2 linked regions of the Mytilus edulis genome follow. The main gene of each other region encodes a partner of the protein of the gene in region 2 in a complex. Links are inferred from orthologs where the notes say so. Each region holds a gene or a part of one and is shown on either strand. Other genes may lie near its edges.

Region 1 (11,235 bases), about 5.1 Mb from region 2:
CTCGGTCTTGAACGATGTTAAGATCTCCTGTTATAACATGGGAAATGGGTCCATAAATGTATTTGGAATTACTGCAATTACATGAAGTAGGTGTATTTTCACTGATATTACCATCTTTACACAATTGGCTATAATTAAACACAAATTTCCGGGTAGATTTCTTGTAAATATAACAAATAGGAGGGAGCTCAGTATTATCAAAATATCCAGGAATTTGTTCTTTAACAGAATGGTCGTTAAAAATGCCAGCAATATTAACAAAATCAAAACCTTTATTGACATACTTTATTTTAATAAAATGTTTTTTATGATCTTCAGGACGATCAATTTTAGGAAACAGTTTAAAATAACAATATGCCATTATAATTTGAACGATTTCATACTTAGGACTGCTATATGAAATTGTGTTGCAATCCTCTAAAATTGTATTTAACTTATTAATCGGTGATGAACAGAGCTTTGTTAACAGATAATGTCTGCCGTTGTTTTTTGAAATAGAAATTAAGTCCGAAATATTGGTATGATTTGTCCGAAATTTTCTTTTATTACGATTTTTTCTACGACCATGAGAGCGTTTTTTTTCGAACTGTTTTAGAAACAATATCCAAAATGTTAACTGAATCGGTTCTTGATATATTGCCAATTCCCATGATATTATAATTTAAACCGAGAGGGTAGACTGTCTGTAATTTTTTAATCCAATTTAATTCAATTATTTTCCGTGATCGTACACACTTTGAATGAGATTCACCAGGCTGTTTATTTACTACTTCCAAAGGTTGAACTTCTAAATATTCAATAGGATGATTGTGCTTAAGGTGTTGTAAATGATACTTTTGAATTTATTGGGTCTTTTAAAACGATACAGATGTTCTTGAGTGCGTTTAGATAAATACCGTCCAGTTTCACCTACGTACTGAATACCGCATCCCGGTTTGTTTCATGCGAGTAAATAAATAAGACTGTTTGTTTTTCAAGTTATATCAGTTTCAAATTTAAAAAAAAATGTGCGACTATTAAATGTGGACCTTACCGTATTGTTGGTGGAAAGACGGGGACATGTAAGTCATTTTTTGGCATGACACTTATCGATAGAAGGGTAACTACGATTTTTATTGTTAAAAATATTAGCGATGGTCGTATTTTTAGATAAGCGTTTTGAAGATTGAGACGTGTAGATACCCTTTGAACGAGTTTAGTATTAAAATATTTTTCCATTTCTAATCTTCATATTTGTTTTTTTGTTTGTGAATTATATTAGAAAGGAGCAAAGACTGGTGTCCAGAATATGAACCAGCATACAATGAATTAAGTTATGTAAAAATGATAAATCTGTTCGGATAAAGATGTCAAACGCTATCCGTATTAATTACCCCGAAAAGATTAGGATATATCAGGGTATCGACTGACGTCTGACAAAATAGTAGAAAGGGGCTGAATATTGAAGTAGTTACTTTTTGATAAATATTCCTAAAGTAATGAACTAGAGAAGTTCTCGCTCGGACACACACTCCATAATCTAGTATATTATAAGAGCATATGCCTAACAGTATAATTAGGCAATAGACTTACTGCCTAGGCGTTAGCTTATTGCCTAGGATTTAAGCTTAATGTCTAATTTCACTTATTGCCGCTAACATATACATTTCTCTATAAAACAGGTTTGTTCAGATAATAAGCATACATGAAAAAAATGTTAGAATTTGTCATTTAAGGGCAATAACTCCTACAAGAACTCTTCTGACAAATTTAAAGTAAATTGACAATCTGTAAATCTCATCATACGTAACACTTAAGTTCATGACAGATTGTTTTTGTTCATATCGGTTTTCAGACCAAACTTGGCTGCTGATTTTCTATATTTATCTAAATGGTAAAAGAAAGAAAAATCTTTAACCAACATTTTCTCTTTCTTTTCCTGTAGACGGTTAGATATATGTCAAAAAGAATAACATCGGAAATGTGGTATCGGGAATCAATGAGGAGGTTTTGGAAACGGGCTACAGACTTATTTAATCATTTTATGGGTGAACCAAAAAGTATTGGCCACATTACAGAAAACTTTTGTGAGCTCGGAATGACAATCACAAGACGCAGTGATTAATTTTGCAGTTCCCAGCCAAAAGATACGATCAGAATTCATCGCCATGGACCTTGATATCCCAAATTCTTACTTCGGCTTTAGATATCTTGGTTTTAACGTTGAAACATGTCTTCAAGTTCCATGAGGCTGAAATGGTTTCCTTGTGATCAGTGGATTACAGGCGTAACTGTTACAGCTATCGGAAATTGTCGGAAATGACCTTTCTTGTATCAACTCGGTTCTTTCTAGTGCAAGTGACATATTTGGAACATACTCATATTATGTTAATGAAAGCACAATAGATATCTCGTATCAAGGAAACCATGACAGCCTCGTGGAACATGATGAAATGTTTCAACGTTAGAACCAAGATATGTAAAGCAGAGGTCAGATTTAGGGTTGTCAACGGCATAGCGATGAAGTGTGATAGTATCTTTAGTTTTGACTTGGAACTGCATAAAATTTTCCTGCGTCCTGGGGATCGTATATTCCACGCTCATAAAAATTTCGGAGTGTCTATTCGTTCGGTTGTCCGGCTAGCCGGACGAATAGCCATTACCTGCAAATTTTCTGTAATGTGTCCAATACTTTTTGGTCCACCCATAAAATATAAAAAAAATACCGAGAAAAATGATGTAACCAGTTTCCCGTCGGATACAGCCGATTTCCGATGTTATTCCTTTTGAAATTAATCTGACCGTCTACAGGGAAAAAAAAGAGAGAAATATTGTCTAAAGATTTTTTTTCTTTTACCATTTGGATAAAAGATAGAAATCAGCAGCCAGATTAAATTTTTTTGAATCTCTGTTTTGAAATCGTTAAGAATATTAGTGTCATCGTCTTCATCTCTCCTTGAAGCTGTATTGACATTTGATGGAAAAAAAATTCCGGTGAGTGTTTCATTGGAGAAAGTAATCGAGTTTGTTTTAGAGTGGTTGCTTTTGCGGCTTGCGCGAGAGCTTTTGAGAGGAACCTGGTGATGCACTTTGATGGAGTTTGACTGATGGTGGCTTCGGCCAAATATTTTATAGAGGTGTGTTCTGTGATTTTCCTCGATGTATCTGTGCAATGAGCCTCAACCGGGACCTTTTCTGAGTCAATTTTTTTACTTTTTACGAAATCAAAAGCACATGTCTTAAAAGACAATTTCAAAGAAAACAGGCAAAATGAAGTACATTCAGTATGTAATGTCTTATCATAAAATAGCAGATATGTTTGAACTAAAAAGTATCAGATATAGACCGATTTATATGTAAATCTATTCTATTTTTATAAAAAGCGATCTACCCCTTGAGACGCAAAATCTGACACCCCGAGCGACACTTCATATTTGGATGAAAAACTAGTTTTAAAATCAATTAATTTTAAGTAAGAAGCTGGTATTTGGTTAAATTACATGACAGGAATTCAATTCTATATGATACGGAAGGAAGTCGTCTAAAGAAGTTTTTTATCCAGAAATTTGCATATGAAGCCTCAAAATCTGCAACACGGAAAACTAGGGAGAGGTGTTTGAGGAAACATAGTACTAAATACGACTGCTTCTGCTTGCAGGAAATAGATTATGTTTCAGTTCATTCCGTGCAATACATTTTATGGTACTAAGAATTCTAAGAAAAAGAAATTTTGATACTTGAACTTACTTTGATAGTTTTTCTCCGCTTCGAAATTGCCACCCGGCCCGTGTCAAACATAGCCGACACCCCGCATGCATGTGGCGTTCTACAAGGTGTATTTGCAAAGAAAGAAATATGGATATGAAAATGGCACAAAATAATGAATGTACGCATTGTCATTCAGATAAAGCACAAACAAAATTATTTTCAGCAGAAAACAATATGGACCCTAAACATATTCCTTCCAAATTTATTATTTTATTTTAGACCGATGAAAAACCAAATATGTAGGTATATGATTAACTGGCATATAAGGTATTATATATTAAGAAGATTTTTTTAATAAAATTGAAAATCTTTTCCAGGTCATTTAAACATTTCCATACCGCTTCTCCTTCTCATCAGAAACCCTGCTAGTACTAGATTCAGTATGAATTTCGTTTTCACCGACTTATTCTCGCCCATTTGTATATTCATCAAATCATCACTTTCCTTTTGCAAGATATTTGTTTTAAAGAAGTCCCTGTGCTTTTTTTTTATGATGAATGATCAGTAACTATTGTTTAAAGTAAAGTAAAGTAATCTTTATTTAAAGTCGGTTTGCATATATACATAATAACAAGGAACATATGATCTTAAGAGCTCTTTAACCGACTGATATTAATAAACAAAAAATACATGTAATAACATCAGATACATATACAACACAAACACACAAACAGACAGACAGACAGCATACATATGTATCAATACATAAATAGCACATGCAAAATAAAAGCTAAGCAAGATATATATTAAAAGAATGTCAAATATCAGCACATAGTAGAATATATAGACAATAACTGTTTAGTGTCTTTAAATATCAGCTGTATTTGTACGAGGCTAGGAAACAAGGTGTATGCGAGCTTTTAGCGAGCTATTACACCTGTTTCGAGCCGAGTACAAATACAGCTGATATTTAAAGACACTAAACAGTTATTGTCTTTATCCTGCAATTAATTCTGTATATCATTTGTGTTTTGAAAGACACAAAAATACATATTTTGCATTTATTTTCGATTTGAAATCCCTTGAGGCCCGTGTAGTAATACGATATGTAGTAATCACACATTCAGAAGAAGGCGGGTTCGCAAAAAAAGAATCTCGAATGGTCAACAATAATACATCGCTCAAGGTGAATAATTATCTATTTTAACATAACAACTAATTTCAACAGTAAAAACAAATAACAAAACATTGTCCAATTTGAGACAGGAGTGTACGAGTTGTCCTACGCTTCAGACTCGACATTTACTTAAAATGCATGCTGAAATTGACATGGTTGTTTTTGTTACACAACCATACACATTCAAGTTGTTCATGTGTGTATGTTATCAGACAATTGGTGTGATTCTTATTGCTCTAAAGAAATGTTTGGAAACAAACAGAACGTATAAAAGTAATCGTTAATTCGCAATTGATACGTCATTGGAATGCGACTCCAATACACATTCTGAGGTCACGTAGGTTCATACAATACTCAGTCCGGCAGTTGGCGGAGCTTTTAAGCGATATCTGTATAGTATACAGATACAGCAAAGCGATATCTGTAGGGCTGTATCTGTATAGTAGAACACCCAATTGCAGGATAAAGTAGTATTTATATTAGAATAGCACATGTAAAATTAAACACTATGAACACAAGCAAAAGACTGCATGCAGCTAAAGCACACAATGCATAAGCAAATAAATAAATAAATAAATAAATAAATAAATAAATAAATAAATAAATAAATAAATAAATAAATAAATAAATAAATATATAAATAAAAATAACCGGCTGCAAAAAATAACGGAAAAGCGAAAAGTTATCCCCAATACACGGATGCCCCACTCGAACCGGGTATCATTTTCTATGTTCAGTGGACCATGAAATTGGGGTAAAAACTCTAATTTGGCATTAAAATTAGTACGATCATGTCATAGGGAACATGTGTACTAAGTTTCAAGTTGATTGGACTTCAACTTCATCAAAAACTAACTTGACCAAAAACTTTAACCTGATGCGGGCTGGGACAGACGGAAGAACGAACGAACGGTACGACGAACGGACGGACGGACTGACGCACGCACGAACGTAGGTGGGCATAACAATACCAGGCTTCAAATTCAAATCATTGGACAGCAAGGAGTTACATTATTTACAAGAGCTGCAGGTACAATTTATGAAAAAGAGCAGGTGGAGATAAAAATTTTAACTGTTTGAAGGCTAGAAACTGGCATTTAAATGTTTTGTATGGTTTACTCAAACCTTGGCCTTACCCATAACAACTATGTTTTGTCAATAACTTGGTTTATATCAGGTTAATTAGTGTAAATGTGTATTCATGTGGTTTTTTGTTTAAATGTACTTTAATCATTCTAATCATTTTCTGTGCTTTATTTTGTAATTCATTTGATTGTATAGCTCAAATTTTGGGCACCATGATTGGTTAATAAAATTATCTATCTACCTTAACTTTGCACAGGGAGAATTATAAATGTTTATTCGCTGGTTAACGATTACGTTCGTCAATTCCATTATTATTTATATTGTTACCAATATCGAGGGGCCTCAAAATCAGCTTCAAAATAATTGACGTCAAATCTCGGAAATGTCACACAGTTGGTCGGCATTTGATGCTGCGATTCTAATCATTTTCGGACATCCGGATCTTTTTTTCCCAGAAAAAATAATAACATTACAGATAGGACTCAACTAGAAAGCACCTGTTATTAATACCCCAGTGCGATACAGTTATTTTGATAGTATGAATTGATACACAGTTGAAAATGGCAGGAAACTTCTGGCAAAGTTCTCATTTGTATGTACAAAAAGAAGTTTAATAAATATTAGCATGTACCACACAAAAGATTACTATGAAAAATGAAATACTAAGGCATATCAGAAAAAAATCATAAATTGGATTGAATTCTTTTCTTTCAAATTATCAAGTGGGTGAAATAAAGGGAAGTCAATAGGTATAATTTGTATTGCCTGTTAATATGAGGCAGGCATTACCTGTAAATGGGGACGAAGTCTATATGAATTATTTTTTTGTAACTCAATTATTTGTCAAAAAAAAATACACGGAAATACAGTAACGTTTCCGATTTTGGTTCTGTTGTTAAGGATTTTAGTTGTGACGTTATTTAAATTATGACGTCATATGCAATGTAAACAAGAAACGCTATCATTAGGTAACGTTTTTTCATATCAAGGAATTATTAAAAATAAAATAAGTATTGCGCGTTCCTTCCTATTTTATACTAGACTGATAAATATATATTTTACTCAAAGTTTCATACAAACGAGACCGGAAAAAGGAAGTATATTGTACATTTCTGCGCAGGTCCGGAATTTCAAAACATGACATAAAAAAAATTGAACGATTTTGAGTTCATTAGTACAATGAAAAATTCGGGAAATTTTCCCGAATTTTTTTTTTTATTGAATTTTCTACTGTTATTGGGGACTTCGTCCCCATATAAATATTCTTTCAATATATTACAAAAGTTAAAACACAATATATCGTCGTGTCATATGTTTTTGTATGTCATATGTTTTCGTATCAACCACATTTCGTCGGTTTCGACTGCATACGCGTACATTGTGGCATGTTTTTCTGTTTATATATTTAGAACAACAACACTACTACAACTTGATATATTTAAAACATATTCAACGTCGCTTTTTAAAGACGTTAGAACAAATTAAATAAAACTGACCTATTTAGCCATTTTTATTTAATGTCAAAAATACGCATCACTAGAATAGTTGTGGAAAAAAATTCTGAAGGGTTAAAATAAAGTCCAGATATGTTTTTTTGCAAGTCAGACACCGGATCTTCAAGACGTATGACTGTCATGTGTTTTTTTGGCCGTTTTAATTACAAACCATCGAGTTAAAATTAGCAGGGTTCTTATATAAAATGGTTGTTCAAAATCTAACTATTCAATATTTCATTGACAATTTTTTTTATACATCCTTGATACATGAAGATGAAAACAGTCTTTTACTTTTTATATTTAATCATAAATTTTGAAAACTGCATTTTATTTTAGAAAAAATAATGTATTTTGTACAAACCAGGTGCCAATCTGAAATTAATCAAAATCTAAAAATTTCATCACACGAAACACCAACCTTACACTTTTTACTAGTAATTTTTTGTACTGAAAAGTATTTAATAACTTTTTTTAAGATTCAAGCGATCACCCGAACCACGACTTTAGAAAAAATGTATTTCCGGATTTTGTAGTCATTTCCTGTCCGTGTACTGATCCAACTTTTATTTCATACGAAAACATATGACACCGTTTTTTTGACATACAAAAATCGCAAAGTAATCGGAAACAGTAAAAAATCGTAGAAATCATTGACAAAAAAACTAGATACCTAAAATCAATCTACAGGACATGCTTTTTAAATTTGAGTAAACACCTAAATAGAAACTCAACAGTAAAAACCGTAAGCAGTGAAAATTGTTATAAGTACGAAAACACATTACACGATGATACATGTATCATAAATAATTAAATACATGTACACAAATGAAAATACATAAACATAAATGCATAATAAATATATTTTTTGGCAAACACATCATCCGCCAAGCCTGAAAGGCCGCCAAAAAAATAAAGATAAAATACTAACTATCAAAACAGTTAATCATGATTAACACCAGACATACTATTATCTTTTTTCTCTCTTCAAATAAGCTCCTTCCTTTCAAAATGTGTATAGATAATGAAAGGACAAAACAGCAAACCAACTCAGAATGTATGTAGATCCTGGGTAGTTAGAGGAAAACCAACATTATATTCAGGATGCAAGTTCTCTGAAAAGAGAAAAAAGAATAATTATAGTAAACAATATACATGTATGAAGTACAAAATGTAAATAAAAACACAATTGTAACACATTACAATTTATATACTCTGATGCTTAATAATGTTGATTATCTTTTTTCTGAAAAGTTCTGTACCAGCAAAATTTAAATGAAGCCCATCTCTCGGAAGCAAATGAGGAAGAATCTGGAATATTGTAGAGTAAGAAACTCTATACAAATTACAATATAATAAATTATTTCTTTTACACAATCTTTTTAACTCAGTATTAACTTTATTAACTTTAGCTCCAGTGTTCATGTGATCAACTGGTCTAGGAAGACTTAGCAAATGTCTTCTTTTTTAACTTGTTAATTAAATCTCCAAAATAAGACATAATAGTATCTACGGATTGAGACGAAGAAATATTATTAGTACCAACATGTACTATAAGGAAATCTAATGAAATTAAATCTACTTTCCCAGATGAAATTAATTCAGTAAGACGACCAATAGTGGCACCAGGAAAGGCCTGAGTTGTACACCCATCTATTCCACTAACATATTTAGGTATAGACGCTGACACAATGGTCACCCTTTTTTCTAAGAAATTCCCTGTAAAATTTATAATAAAACATCTGAAATATGTGCTGTCATCTTTTCTGCTACTGAAATCTTATTGTCTAATGAAATTTTAAATATCTCTTGTAAGCATCGATTTTCCAATCTTCGTACAATTGAATTAACTCCGTAGGTACTTCGGCTGCAAAAGCCCAGCTAGCCCCCCCCCTCGCCTAAAACTATGTGTAGAATATGACGACGCATCTATACCAATCTCAGTAATTAACTGTTTCAGTATTGTCTGAAATTGTCTATACAAGACAGGTACACATAATTTATTTTTTATAAACAATAAGCTGGACTCTTATCAGAAGTACAAACCAAAGACTTCATATTCAAAAAAGCTTGAACGGGACACAATGGAGAATCTGGTATTGAGACTAGAGGTATCAATAATTCTCTCTAACCAAACTGAATGGGGTTCGACCATTTAACACTTATCAATAATAGCTTACGCTTACAATCGAAAATAATACATGTACTATCCCTACAAAGCTGTTTATTATGATCAAAAGTAGAAACAGAATCTGGAACCAAATTAGATTTTCTAAACATAAGAAAAAAGGCATGTAAAATTAAACACCATATAGTAGCATCATGCGCACTATTCATATCTACATGTAGCTTATTATAAATTTGAAGTAAAAAGTGAGGAGTAATTGGAAAGGCCTGTTTTAGACAATGTGCCTTAATTCTACATAAACCTCTTAATAGTTAATACTAATCTCAAATGAAAAGCTTCAAACTGTAGATATTCTAAATCTAACAATAAATGCAGATATTTTACTGAACTAATATAATTCTTAGAGTCAACAGATTTAAAACTTCTACTCAGAAACTGTGCATATAATGTCAAAACATAAACTGTAGCAGGAACAGGAATAAGTTCAAAATATATACAAAACATAAAATATGATTCTAACTGAGTTTTTTATACGACCGCAAAAATTTTAATTTTTCGTCGTATATTGCTATCACGTTGGCGTCGTCGTCGTCCTGCGTCGTCGTCGTCTGAATACTTTTAGTTTTCACACTCTAACTTTAGTAAAAGTGAATAGAAATCGATGAAATTTTGTCACAAAGTTTATGACCACAAAAGGAAGGTTGGTATTGATTTTGGGAGTTTTGGTCCCAACATTTTAGGAATTAGGGGTCAAAAAGGGCCCAAATAAGCATTTTCTTGGTTTTCGCACTATAACTTTAGTTTAAGTGAATAGAAATCAATGAAATTTTGACACAAGGTTTATGACCACAAAAGAAAGATTGGGATTGATTTTGGGAGTTTTGGTTCCAACAGTTTAGGAATTAGGGGCCAAAAAAGGGCCAAAATAAGCATTATTCTTTGTTTTCGCACAATAACTTTAGTATAAGTACAAATGTAAATAGAAATCAGTGAAATTTGAAGACAAGGTTTATGACCACAAAAGGAAGGTTGGAATTGATTTTGTGAGTTGAGGTCCCAACAGTTTAGGAATTAGGGGCCAAAATAAGCATTATTCTTGGTTTTCGCACCATAACTTACGTATAAGTAAATAGAAATCTATGAAATTTAAACACAAGGTTTATGACCATAAAAGGAAGGTTGGGTTTGATTTTGAGAGTTTTTGATATGCTGAATCTAAACATGTACTTAGATTTTTGTTTATGGGCCCAGTTTTCAAGTTGGTTCAAATCAGGATCCAAAATTATTATTTTAAGTATTGTGCAATAGCAAGAAATTTTCAATTGCACAGTATTCAGCAATAGCAAGAAATCTTCAATTGCACAGTATTGTGCAATAGCAAGAAATTTTCAATTGCTCAGTATTGTGCAATAGCAAGAAATCTTCAATTGCACAGTATTGTGCAATAGCAAATATTTTCAATTGCACAGTATTGCACAATAGCCAGAAATATCTAATTGCACAATATAGTGCAATAACAAGAAATTTTCAATTGATTGAAGTTATCTTTCTTTGTCCAGAATAGTAGTTGAGTCAACTTAAATCATTGTTTTATACAATATACAATGTATATTCACTTTTACTACCAACTGATAAATTAAAACAATCTTTACCATTCAGTGATA
Region 2 (10,541 bases):
TCCAAATTTAGGATTTTACATCAATAAACACTTTGACTCAATTTCCACAAGTTCCAATATAATGTGAGTAATGTAATGAACTTACTGGCCAGAAATTATCTTTGGATGGCTGTTGTTTCTTTTTGGAGGTATCTTGAAATGTGTTGAATTCTTTCTTCTTGTTAAGTAGAGCAATAAATTCTGATCCAAACTGTTAAGTATAACAAAGTAAGATAAGCTATTTCTAATACATACATGATATAATTAATAAATAAAATGTCATTTGTTGGTCCTATATTTGTAATAACTAAAATGTCATTTGTTGTTCCTATATATTTGTATTAAATAACTAAAATGTCATTTGTTGTTCCTATATTTGTAATAACTAAAATGTCATTTGTTGTTCCTATATTTGTATTAAATAACTAAAATGTCATTTGTTGGTCCTATATTTGTAATAACTAAAATGTCATTTGTTGTTCCTATATATTTGTATTAAATAACTAAAATGTCATTTGTTGGTCCTATATTTGTAATAACTAAAATGTCATTTGTTGTTCCTATATTTGTATTAAATAACTAAAATGTCATTTGTTGGTCCTATATTTGTAATAACTAAAATGTCATTTGTTGTTCCTATATATTTGTATTAAATAACTAAAATGTCATTTGTTGTTCCTATATTTGTATTAAATAACTAAAATGTCATTTGTTGGTCCTATATTTGTAATAACTAAAATGTCATTTGTTGTTCCTATATATTTGTATTAAATAACTAAAATGTCATTTGTTGTTCCTATATATTTGTATTAAATAACTAAAATGTCATTTGTTGTTCCTATATTTGTATTAAATAACTAAAATGTCATTTGTTGGTCCTATATTTGTAATAACTAAAATGTCATTTGTTGTTCCTATATATGTATTAAATAACTAAAATGTCATTTGTTGTTCCTATATTTGTATTAAATAACTAAAATGTCATTTGTTGGTCCTATATTTGTAATAACTAAAATGTCATTTGTTGGTCCTATATTTGTAATAAGTAAAATGTCATTTGTTGTTCCTATATTTGTATTGAGGGACATCCACAACCAAGATCAATAAAAGAAATGAGTAAATTTATTGAACATTGTATTCAAATTTTCCTATAAATATCATTACATGTATCATTAAAGTATCGTAAACTTTATTTTAAAATGGCAGGAATAACATATTTTTAATTTGATAAAAAATAAATAAAATAAAGACTGGATGAATTTGGTTCGACATTTTAACAAGAATGGAACAAGCATATACTAAAGTTGAATCAGTTATTTTGTAATAATTGCAAGAATTAGATCCTTATATTGACGATTAAAAAAAAACATCAATGAACTAGTCAATTAGATTTTTATCAATGGAATCTCTACAGTATTTTTGATATGTATCTTGATAAAATTGGCTAATATCTACTTTGAGAACGTATTACATTGGCTTCTTCTAAAAAAATAATTTGTAACTGTTTAAAGTACCAATTTTCATACATTTACAGGGTTTCTGCTGGCGGTCGCCATTTTCGCAATTTGCGAAAAAATAATAGTTGTGGCGATAAAAATTCGTCATTTGCGAAAGAATTTGGCGAAAGAAATATATAGAACGATTTATTTTCCTCCATCTTGTTTATTTACTTTTTTCGAATTTCTCGGACTTTACCTTATCAGACAATACTCGGAATTCACCTTGACCTCATTAAGATTTGGACAGAAAATCAATAATCAGCTGATTGCATTTTATAGCTATCGACAACAAAGGACTAATTAATAAAGGTGTTGATTGAATTGATTGACAAAATGATATGGTTAAATGGCTTCCGCTAAATGTCACATACAGAATTTATTTACCACTTTGCGATGCACGTGTTTGAAGAACTCTTTTGACGTCTCCTCTCCTTTTAAAGATAGTTTTATAAATAAAAGAAAGCAGTTGTTGTGACGAAAAATGTTCAAAAGCAAGAAAAATCTCCGATTTAAAACTTTAATTATCCTTTGACTTTAATATAGGTAATTGATCAGGGAGACTACTTTAAAGTCGTTTGAGTGACACGTGTTTCAAGCATAGTTTTACGTCTCAACTTTTTCATTTACGATGGTCAAGAAAAGAAAACTGTGGTTATGAAGAAATCTATCCAAAAGGTTGGGAACAACCCCTTGAATGAGAGTAGCTCTTAAATTTTATGACCACATAAAATGAGGGATCAATTTCATGTGATAAAAGCTTTTCTTTTGTTGTAAAAACCGCTTCTTAGTACAAAAAGCCACATCAGTATTTTTCTTTTAAAGAAACTTTCCCTACGAACTATACTGGTATTATATAATCAAAACATGGCCATTAATTTTGTTATATTCCAGGACTTATATCTTCTTTATTATTAAAAGTAAAGTGGCCCCCTCATTTAGAAAAGTTGTTTAAAATACATTCAATGAATATAGTTATGTTACTTGGCGAAAAAAATAATAAAGTGGCGAAAAATATATTGTTTTGGCGAAAGAGGTGGCGAAAAAAATAATTGACCCAGGGGAAACCCTGCATTTATGTGACTGAAGAAGATGTATGTTATATATACATGACATATCCATAATTCATAGTAAAGTGTTATTTTCTTCAGTTTATTAACAAACCTTTTCTTCACTGATGTTCTCTCTTCTTGCTGATCCATACTACAACAAAATAACATCAATTATTAGATTAATCTTTGCAGAATTAAAGAAGGAGTCAAAATTATAAATCCCAAAAGTGGGTTACACATTTTTGTTATTATTTGAACACTTTTAAATAGATCTTGAATAGTAAATTTACCTGTCAGGTTTATAATGTAGAAAATGAAATTCTGGACCAAACACTAAAAACAAATACTGAAATATAGCTTATTATTTAAATCTTACAAATATACTTTTACCATAAACAACTATTAATTTTTTTTCGCTTATGTCAAAGCATTAATAAAAAGAATGACGGAGTAGTTCCCATTGTTCACAATAGCAACTTTAAGTCTGTTACTCCATAAAAATCTTTTTTTAATGGGTAACTAGCCAGCTAAAGAATTTACACAATTTGTTCAATGTATTTCAAAATAAACTATCACTACTGACTGTGGATCACAGAATTATGCCGATTTTCCCCATTGAATATGTTGACCAACCTCTATATATTCTCCATTCCCTTCATTAAATACCTCATAACAAGCATTCAAAGGAGATACAATAGAATATACTAGTACATGAAGATTAAATCACTTAATACAGGAGATAGGTTTTAGTTTGAGTTTAAACACTGTTACATTTTCGAAAGTGCACAAAATACAATTATACAATAGAAATACAGGGATTTGGAGACAAGAAGAACTTATATAAATCCATCTCCCTTAGAGATAGATTTGTTCCTATTGTGCTTAAACATTGTTAAAACCCAACATAAAGATTTTGAAAAGTTGGCAGGTATTAGATCAGAAATGTATCATTTACTTTAGCAAAAGTGTGTCTAACTAGTTGTGACTCAGTATGTCAGTCTAGTTATAATCAGCCAGGGTTGATATCATTTCACATAAACAGTTTCTAATCCTTACATAAATGTAATATTTGCAACCGGACTTTTTATCTTATAAAAAAGGGACAGGAGGTAATCAGTCACATAAAATGTCCTTGATAAACAACTGGAAAGAAAATGCTATACCCATGACATCTACATAATCCATGTGACTGATTATCACTTAATTAACACTAACCTCGTCCATGTTATACATCTGTGTGTTGTTGAAGCCATGTTTAACACTTTTCTCTGTAAGTTCATCCTAAATTATAAAAAAATATTATTATGAACCACTTCATGGTTGTAAACACAGTGTAACTGCTGCAAACAACTCCCGAAATATTAATAAATTATATATTCAAATATAATAATTTTCATATTGTTTTTGTATTGTTCTGTGATGTAACTTTCACAAGTCCATTGATCAAGGTTTAATGAAAATGATTGCCCTTCCAGTCAACAAGAACCAATCTGCCTTGTGACTTATGCTGGACCACTATTTACATTTGTGTACCAGTTAGTAAAAGGTAAAGGGCTAGTGTTTCTTTGCAGACTGCTCTTTATGTCTATGCCAATCAATACAAGCCAATACAGTTTTACCTATTCTAAAGTCCAAAGGAGTATCATGTCCATTCTTTCCCATAACATGTGCATACCTGGATTTTGTTCACACCAATGAATTTTTATTAGATTGATTTGCAATTCAATGTTATTTTATAGTACATTGGTCAGTTGTATACCAAAATATAATTTTAATGTTCTTGTCAGGAATCATGAAAAATATGAAATATATATTCATCTCATAAGAATGCAGTGGCTCCACACTTTCCATCATAAAAGCATTAGCACGAATTCCTGTGACAAACGAAAATATATGATCTGACCTAATCCTGATGTCAATATTATGACACAACTGTTCTCTTTGTGCTGGATTATTTCATCCTGGTACTAAATTTCTCCGTAACACGGTACTTATGGTTAATTTGTTAGACACAGGATTATGACATATGATATAGTAAATTAAGTTTTCTGTGTTCATTGTTTTTGATTGGACATTTTCAGCATTTTTATTATTTTGTGCGGTTAGTTTTAATAGGTTGAGGAAGTTCCAGGTAAAAACCGGCGACCTTCGGTGGATAACTTCGATGTGATGCAGGAATCTTTTAAAGTAAACAATGAATCGCATTCATAATTTGCTATAATGGACGGTAGCTCATCGGGTGTAAAACCTTATAATTTACTTCCTTTCTTTAAATAAATACCTCTTTCTGTTTAGGTTCTTGTGGATATACATCTGGCGGTCCCAATCTTGGCTTTTTTAAAGGTCTAAATTCCTGTGAAGGATATGCAGACATCTGCATCTGCATCTGCATCGTAAATTTGTCAGATTGGGGAAATTTACATTTTCTGGGTTGATCGGCGTCTTTTCCGTAGTATTCTTTGCAGCTGGTAATTGAAACGCCCAATTGATCTCGCTTAAAATAAAGAGTTATCTTTCTTAGGCCGTGACAAATTACTTTATATAAATCTAATAGAATAAAATGGAAAATTTTATTTTTAATCGGGTTACATGAACATTACAAACATAAGCTGTGTAGAGTTTTTGCCAACCTTAATAACAACAACCACACATACAATAGTAAGACATATAGGACATATAAAACATACACAAAGTAAGACAGCTATGATTCCAAAAGCAATAATAGTACTATAATGTTCATAATAAGATATATAAAAGCAAGGATTTGTATAGTATACAAATCCTTGACAAAAAGCAACCACAAACAAGTAAAGCACTAAACTAGATAAGCACATGCAAAGCAGACGAAATAGATAAAGCAAATTGTAAAAATAAAAGTAGCATGGAAAACATAAAAAAAATAAAAGCTCTAAGATCTGCAGGTGCCACATCTGCATGAGTTGCCATTCCAGTTGTTGATCATACTTTTAAACAGGTTCAGGGTCGACTGCGCACGGATCGGTTTGCTTACAATATTAAGCTTATTCATCAATTTCATGTTCAACTTTTTTTTTAATACTACCAAGGATTTGTATAGTATTATTGATACCCAACTCTTTGATAATACCCAAGACTTCTATAACACATGTGTTATACCGGTAGTAGTCTCAGTGATACCTCATATATATATTCCTCATAATTAGCAATCTCTCATTTTCAAATGATTTTTTTTTAACAAATGTATATATTTATTACACGAAGTCCCCAGACTATCAGGAATGAAGCTTAAGAAAATTATAAACAGAATAACAACTTAATAGATTATTTGATCGTGAAGTCTCAGTGCTGTAATAGTTAACAACACAACAATAAGGATATGCTGTATGATTCAGTATAAAGATATTAATGATAAAAGTTATAATATTAATGATATGCATAATACTGGTCATAATATTAATAATTATGTATTCCTTATTTAAAGATAATCTTAAACTATTAAAGATAATCTTAAATTATCGGCTAAGAAGGAGAAGTTTTATTTCAAATTATGGACCCGTAACATCACAACATCAATAGTTTTCACAATACAATTCAAACAATATGAGATAAAAAAAAATAATATTGAGAACAATCTAAGTTTTTAAAACAAAATGTTGACAAAGAGCCTATAATTTTAAACATCTAATGCACTTCAAAGGTACAGACAAAATTCAGTAAACATAGCATCTCTACTGCAGCATGAAACTATGGCACATGAGAGTACAACGAAATCAACGTTCTATATTTTAATTTAATTGTAGATAACTCCCTATCGAGGAAAGCCGCTGATCTTGAACTCAGAAAATACGACACTTCGCCACATAGCAATTGAAGGCTGACAATGGTGAAAAGAATGGATCATAATTTCTTTATGTTAAATTTTAGTTTTAAACAAAACATCTTTTTCTTCAGTTAAGGAAGGAACATGAAGCTGACTACACTAATTATAGTGAAAATGAGGAAAAGTTGCAATGATTTTTATTTGTTTTAATTGCTTACACTTTCTACAGAAAACACCAGAGCTAACAAAAAAAAGGGGTGATGAGTGAAACATTCAGATCCATATATTAACACGAGGACTATTTTAACATGAAAAGGGGGCTTCTGTTTAGCGGTCTTTATGGATTGTGGTTTTCTCTTTAATGAAGATCGGACGTCTACATATGATTACTAACATCCACATCATTCGAAATCTGGTGGATAGTTGTCTCAGTGGCAGTAATACTACATATCCTCATTTGCAAAAGGTCGACACTGTGGTGACCGCTGATGTGAATTTTGGAAGACAATATGAGGTATTGAATTCGTGTTATTGAGTAAATCCGGTCACAAGCTAGCTAACATGATCCCTTATGGAAGATCTCTGAGTCATAAGCCGATGATTTCGTAAACACTATTGCATACAAATTTGATAAGAGTTTTGTACCCGACTATGCTAGTTTAGTTCTTACCAAGCCGCATATTTATCGACAAAATCTTCCTTCTACAAGTAGATAAAATTATTTCTTAAAATCAACACTGACGATTGCCATTTGTTGTGCCGATATAAGTCTTTCAATATCATATTTTATTTAACCTTATTAATCTACATAATACACTATATCTTATATCAGTATTGAACCAATCATTATAGACACCTTTTCACTCATGTTCATTTGTGTAAATATATAAACTTTAACATACATAGATAGATTCTCCGTGGAAAGACCTTTTGATTATGTTTGATTATTAAATTTTCCTTCTTTTCCAGTTGACAGACCTTTAGGGTTTGTTGCTTGCCAAGCTTTTTGTTTCGAAAGATGTCGATACAATGATTTTTTCTTTCAAATAATTTTTTTCACTCAATTACCAAGAAGACAATTTAAGGAAATTTTGAAACAAGAGCAAATGAACTTACAAAGGACATACTTATTGAAGGAAAGAACATCGACAATGTTGTCAAGACAAGATATTCAATGCAAGCGGCAAAAGAAAGTTTACCAATGGGTGTGAGAAAGAACTACAAGCCATACTGATCCAATGAAATTCAGGAAACACATGATGCACTCACAAGAGCAAGAAAAGAGGCTGAATGAAACCCCAGCCAGGAGAATAACATCAAACTCTAACAAAGCAAGGTAAAACACCTTAGAACAAAACATGAGAGACAGTGAAAAGGATGGAGAGACAAAAAACATCATCTTTAAAAATGGAGAAAGATACAACAAAGCTGTGGATTGACAAAAGCACTAAATTATGAGGGAAGTAAAGGCCAAAAGATAACTCTAGAAGTTGAAGGAAGAACAACTACAGACAGGAAAAGCTGCTGCAAATGCATCTGCAAAAGGCTGTGAGGTAGAAAACAATACCAACATCCCAACTTTATGTAAAAAAGAAGTAAGAGCAGAAATAAGAGTTAGACAGAAAACACCTGTACATGAGATCATGCATGCAAATTGACATCACAATGTGTGAGATGAAACAATCGATAAGAATGCTAAAGATGAAAAAGTCTCCAGGTCCAGATAACATCACAAATGAGATGCTTCACCACCTATAGGGAACTCAACACTATATACTTTGCTGGACATCTTCAATCTTAGCTGCAGACAATTATAGTCCCACAATGCTGGAAGGAAGCAATAATGATGCCAATACTAAAGAAAGGAAAGAAACTAGTCAAAAGCCTCAAGTTATCGTCCTATAAGCATAACAAGCAGCTGTTGTCAGTTGTTGGAGCACATAATAAACAAGCGCATGCACATGTACTTAGAGTCGGAGAACAAGTGGTTTTAGACAATACAAAAGCACAGAAGACCAGACTTTACATCTATTGCAGGTAGTACAAGATGCCTTCCAACCCAAGAAAGTAACGTTGGCTTCGTAGATATACAAATAGCATTTGATAAGGTATAAAAGATCTACTTATGGATCTACAATCTGTCAATACCTGTATCTTGGCATTGCGTATGGTCATATTTTTCTCTGATTCATTGGATGTTGGATGTGTACTGATTGATAAGTTAGTCTTAGATGCATGATTTTTTATCAGTTTTTTGTGGCTTGGAACTAGCTGTCAGTAAATGCGAGTACTCTCAGGGAGGGTTGGGATCCCGCTAACATGTTTAACCAAACCACATTATGTATGGATGTGCCTGTCCCAAGTCAGGAGCCCGTAATTCAGTGGTTGTCTTTTGTTGATGTGTGACATATTGCTTTTTGTTCCTTTTTAGCTCACCTGGCCCGAAGGGCCAAGTGAGCTATTCCCATCACTTTGCGTCCGGCGTCCGTCGTCGTCGTCCGTCGTCCGTCGTCCGTCGTCGTCCGTCGTCCGTCGTCGTTAACTTTTACAAAAATCTTCTCCTCTGAAACTACTGGGCCAAATTTAACCAAACTTGACCAAAATCATCATTGGGGTATCTAGTTTAAAAAATGTGTGGCGTGACCCGGTCAACCAACCAAGATGGCCGCCACGGCTAAAAATAGAACATAGGGGTAAAATGCAGTTTTTGGCTTATAACTCAAAAACCAAAGCATTTAGAGCAAATCTGACATGGGGTAAATATGTTTATCAGGTCAAGATCTATCTGCCCTGAAATTTTCAGATGAATCGGTCAACCCGTTGTTGGGTTGCTGCCCCTGAATTGGTCATTTTGAGGAAATTTTGCTGTTTTTGGTTATTATCTTGAATATTATTATAGATAGAGATAAGCTGTAAACAGCAATAATGTTTGGCAAAGTTAGATTTACAAGTAAGTCAACATGACCGAAATGGTCAGTTGACCCCTTTAGGAGTTATTGCCCTTTATAGTCAATTTTTAACCATTTTTCATAAATCTAAGTAATCTTTTACAAAAATCTTCTCCTCTGAAACTACTGGGCCAAATTAATCCAAACTTGGCCACAATCATCTTTGGGGTATCTAGTTAAAAAAATGTGTGGCGTGACCCGGTCAACCAACCAAGATGGCCGCCACGGCTAAAAATAGAACATAGGGGTAAAATGCAGTTTTTGGCTTATAACTCAAAAACCAAAGCATTTAGAGCAAATCTGAAGTGGGGTAAAAATGTTTATCAGGTCAAGATCTATCTGCCCTGAAATTTTCAGATGAATTGGTCAACCTGTTGTTGGGTTGCTGCCCCTGAATTGGTAATTTTGAGGAAATTTTGCCGTTTTTGGTTATTATCTTGAATATTATTATAGATAGAGATAAACTGTAAACAGCAATAATGTTCAGCAAAGTAAGATTTACAAATAAGTCAACATGACGAAAATGGTCAGTTGACCCCTTTAGGAGTTATTGCCCTTTATAGTCAATTTTTAACCATTTTTCGTAAATCTTAGTTATCTTTTACAAAAATCTTCTCCTCTGAAACTACTGGGCCAAATTAATTCAAACTTGGCCACAATCATCTTTGAGGTACCTTGTTTGAAAAATGTGTCCGATGACCTGGCCATCCAACCAAGATGGCCACCACGGCTAAAAATAGAACAGGGGTAAAATGTAGTTTTTTGCTTACAACTCTGAAACCAAATCATTTAGAGGAAATCTGACAAGGAGTTTAATTGTTAATCAAGTCAATATATATCTGCCCTGAAATATTCAAATGAATTGGACAACCTGTTGTTGGGTTGCTGCCCTCCAATTGGTAATTTTTAAAGAAAGTTTGCTGTTTTTGGTTATTATCTTGAATACTATTATAGATAGCGATAAACTGTAAACAGCGATAATGTTCATCAAAGTAAGATCTACAAATAAGTCCACATGACCTAAATGGTCAATTGACCCCTTAAGGAGTTATTGCCCTTTATAGTCAATTTTTTTAACAATTTTCATTAATTTGGTAAATTTATGTAAATTTTTACCAAATATTTTTCTCTGTTACTAATGGGCAAAGTTCATTATAGATATAATTGTAAGAAGCAAGAATGTTCAGTAAAGTAAGAACTTCAAACACATCACCATCACCAAAATACAATTTTGTCATGAATCCATTTGTGTCCTTTGTTAAATATG

The links. Proteins that work in one complex are often made in the same cells at the same time.
Region 1: mediator of RNA polymerase II transcription subunit 12-like protein (region 2) and cyclin-C-like share a complex: the UniProt entries of both Drosophila melanogaster proteins name them as parts of the cdk8 module of the Mediator complex. The link is inferred for Mytilus edulis from reciprocal best matches to the Drosophila melanogaster genes kto and CycC.

The regions. Positions count from the first base shown.
Region 1 is NC_092346.1:91,810,957-91,822,191, forward strand, and holds the start of cyclin-C-like, read left to right. Parts: upstream 1-6,359; 5' UTR 6,360-6,510; coding exon 6,511-6,542; intron 6,543-11,235. UniProt on the Drosophila melanogaster protein: Component of the Mediator complex, a coactivator involved in regulated gene transcription of nearly all RNA polymerase II-dependent genes.
Region 2 is NC_092346.1:96,950,634-96,961,174, reverse strand, and holds the start of mediator of RNA polymerase II transcription subunit 12-like protein, read right to left. Parts: upstream 4,974-10,541; 5' UTR 4,920-4,973; coding exon 4,809-4,919; intron 3,809-4,808; coding exon 3,743-3,808; intron 2,679-3,742; coding exon 2,640-2,678; intron 191-2,639; coding exon 86-190; intron 1-85. UniProt on the Drosophila melanogaster protein: Component of the Mediator complex, a coactivator involved in regulated gene transcription of nearly all RNA polymerase II-dependent genes.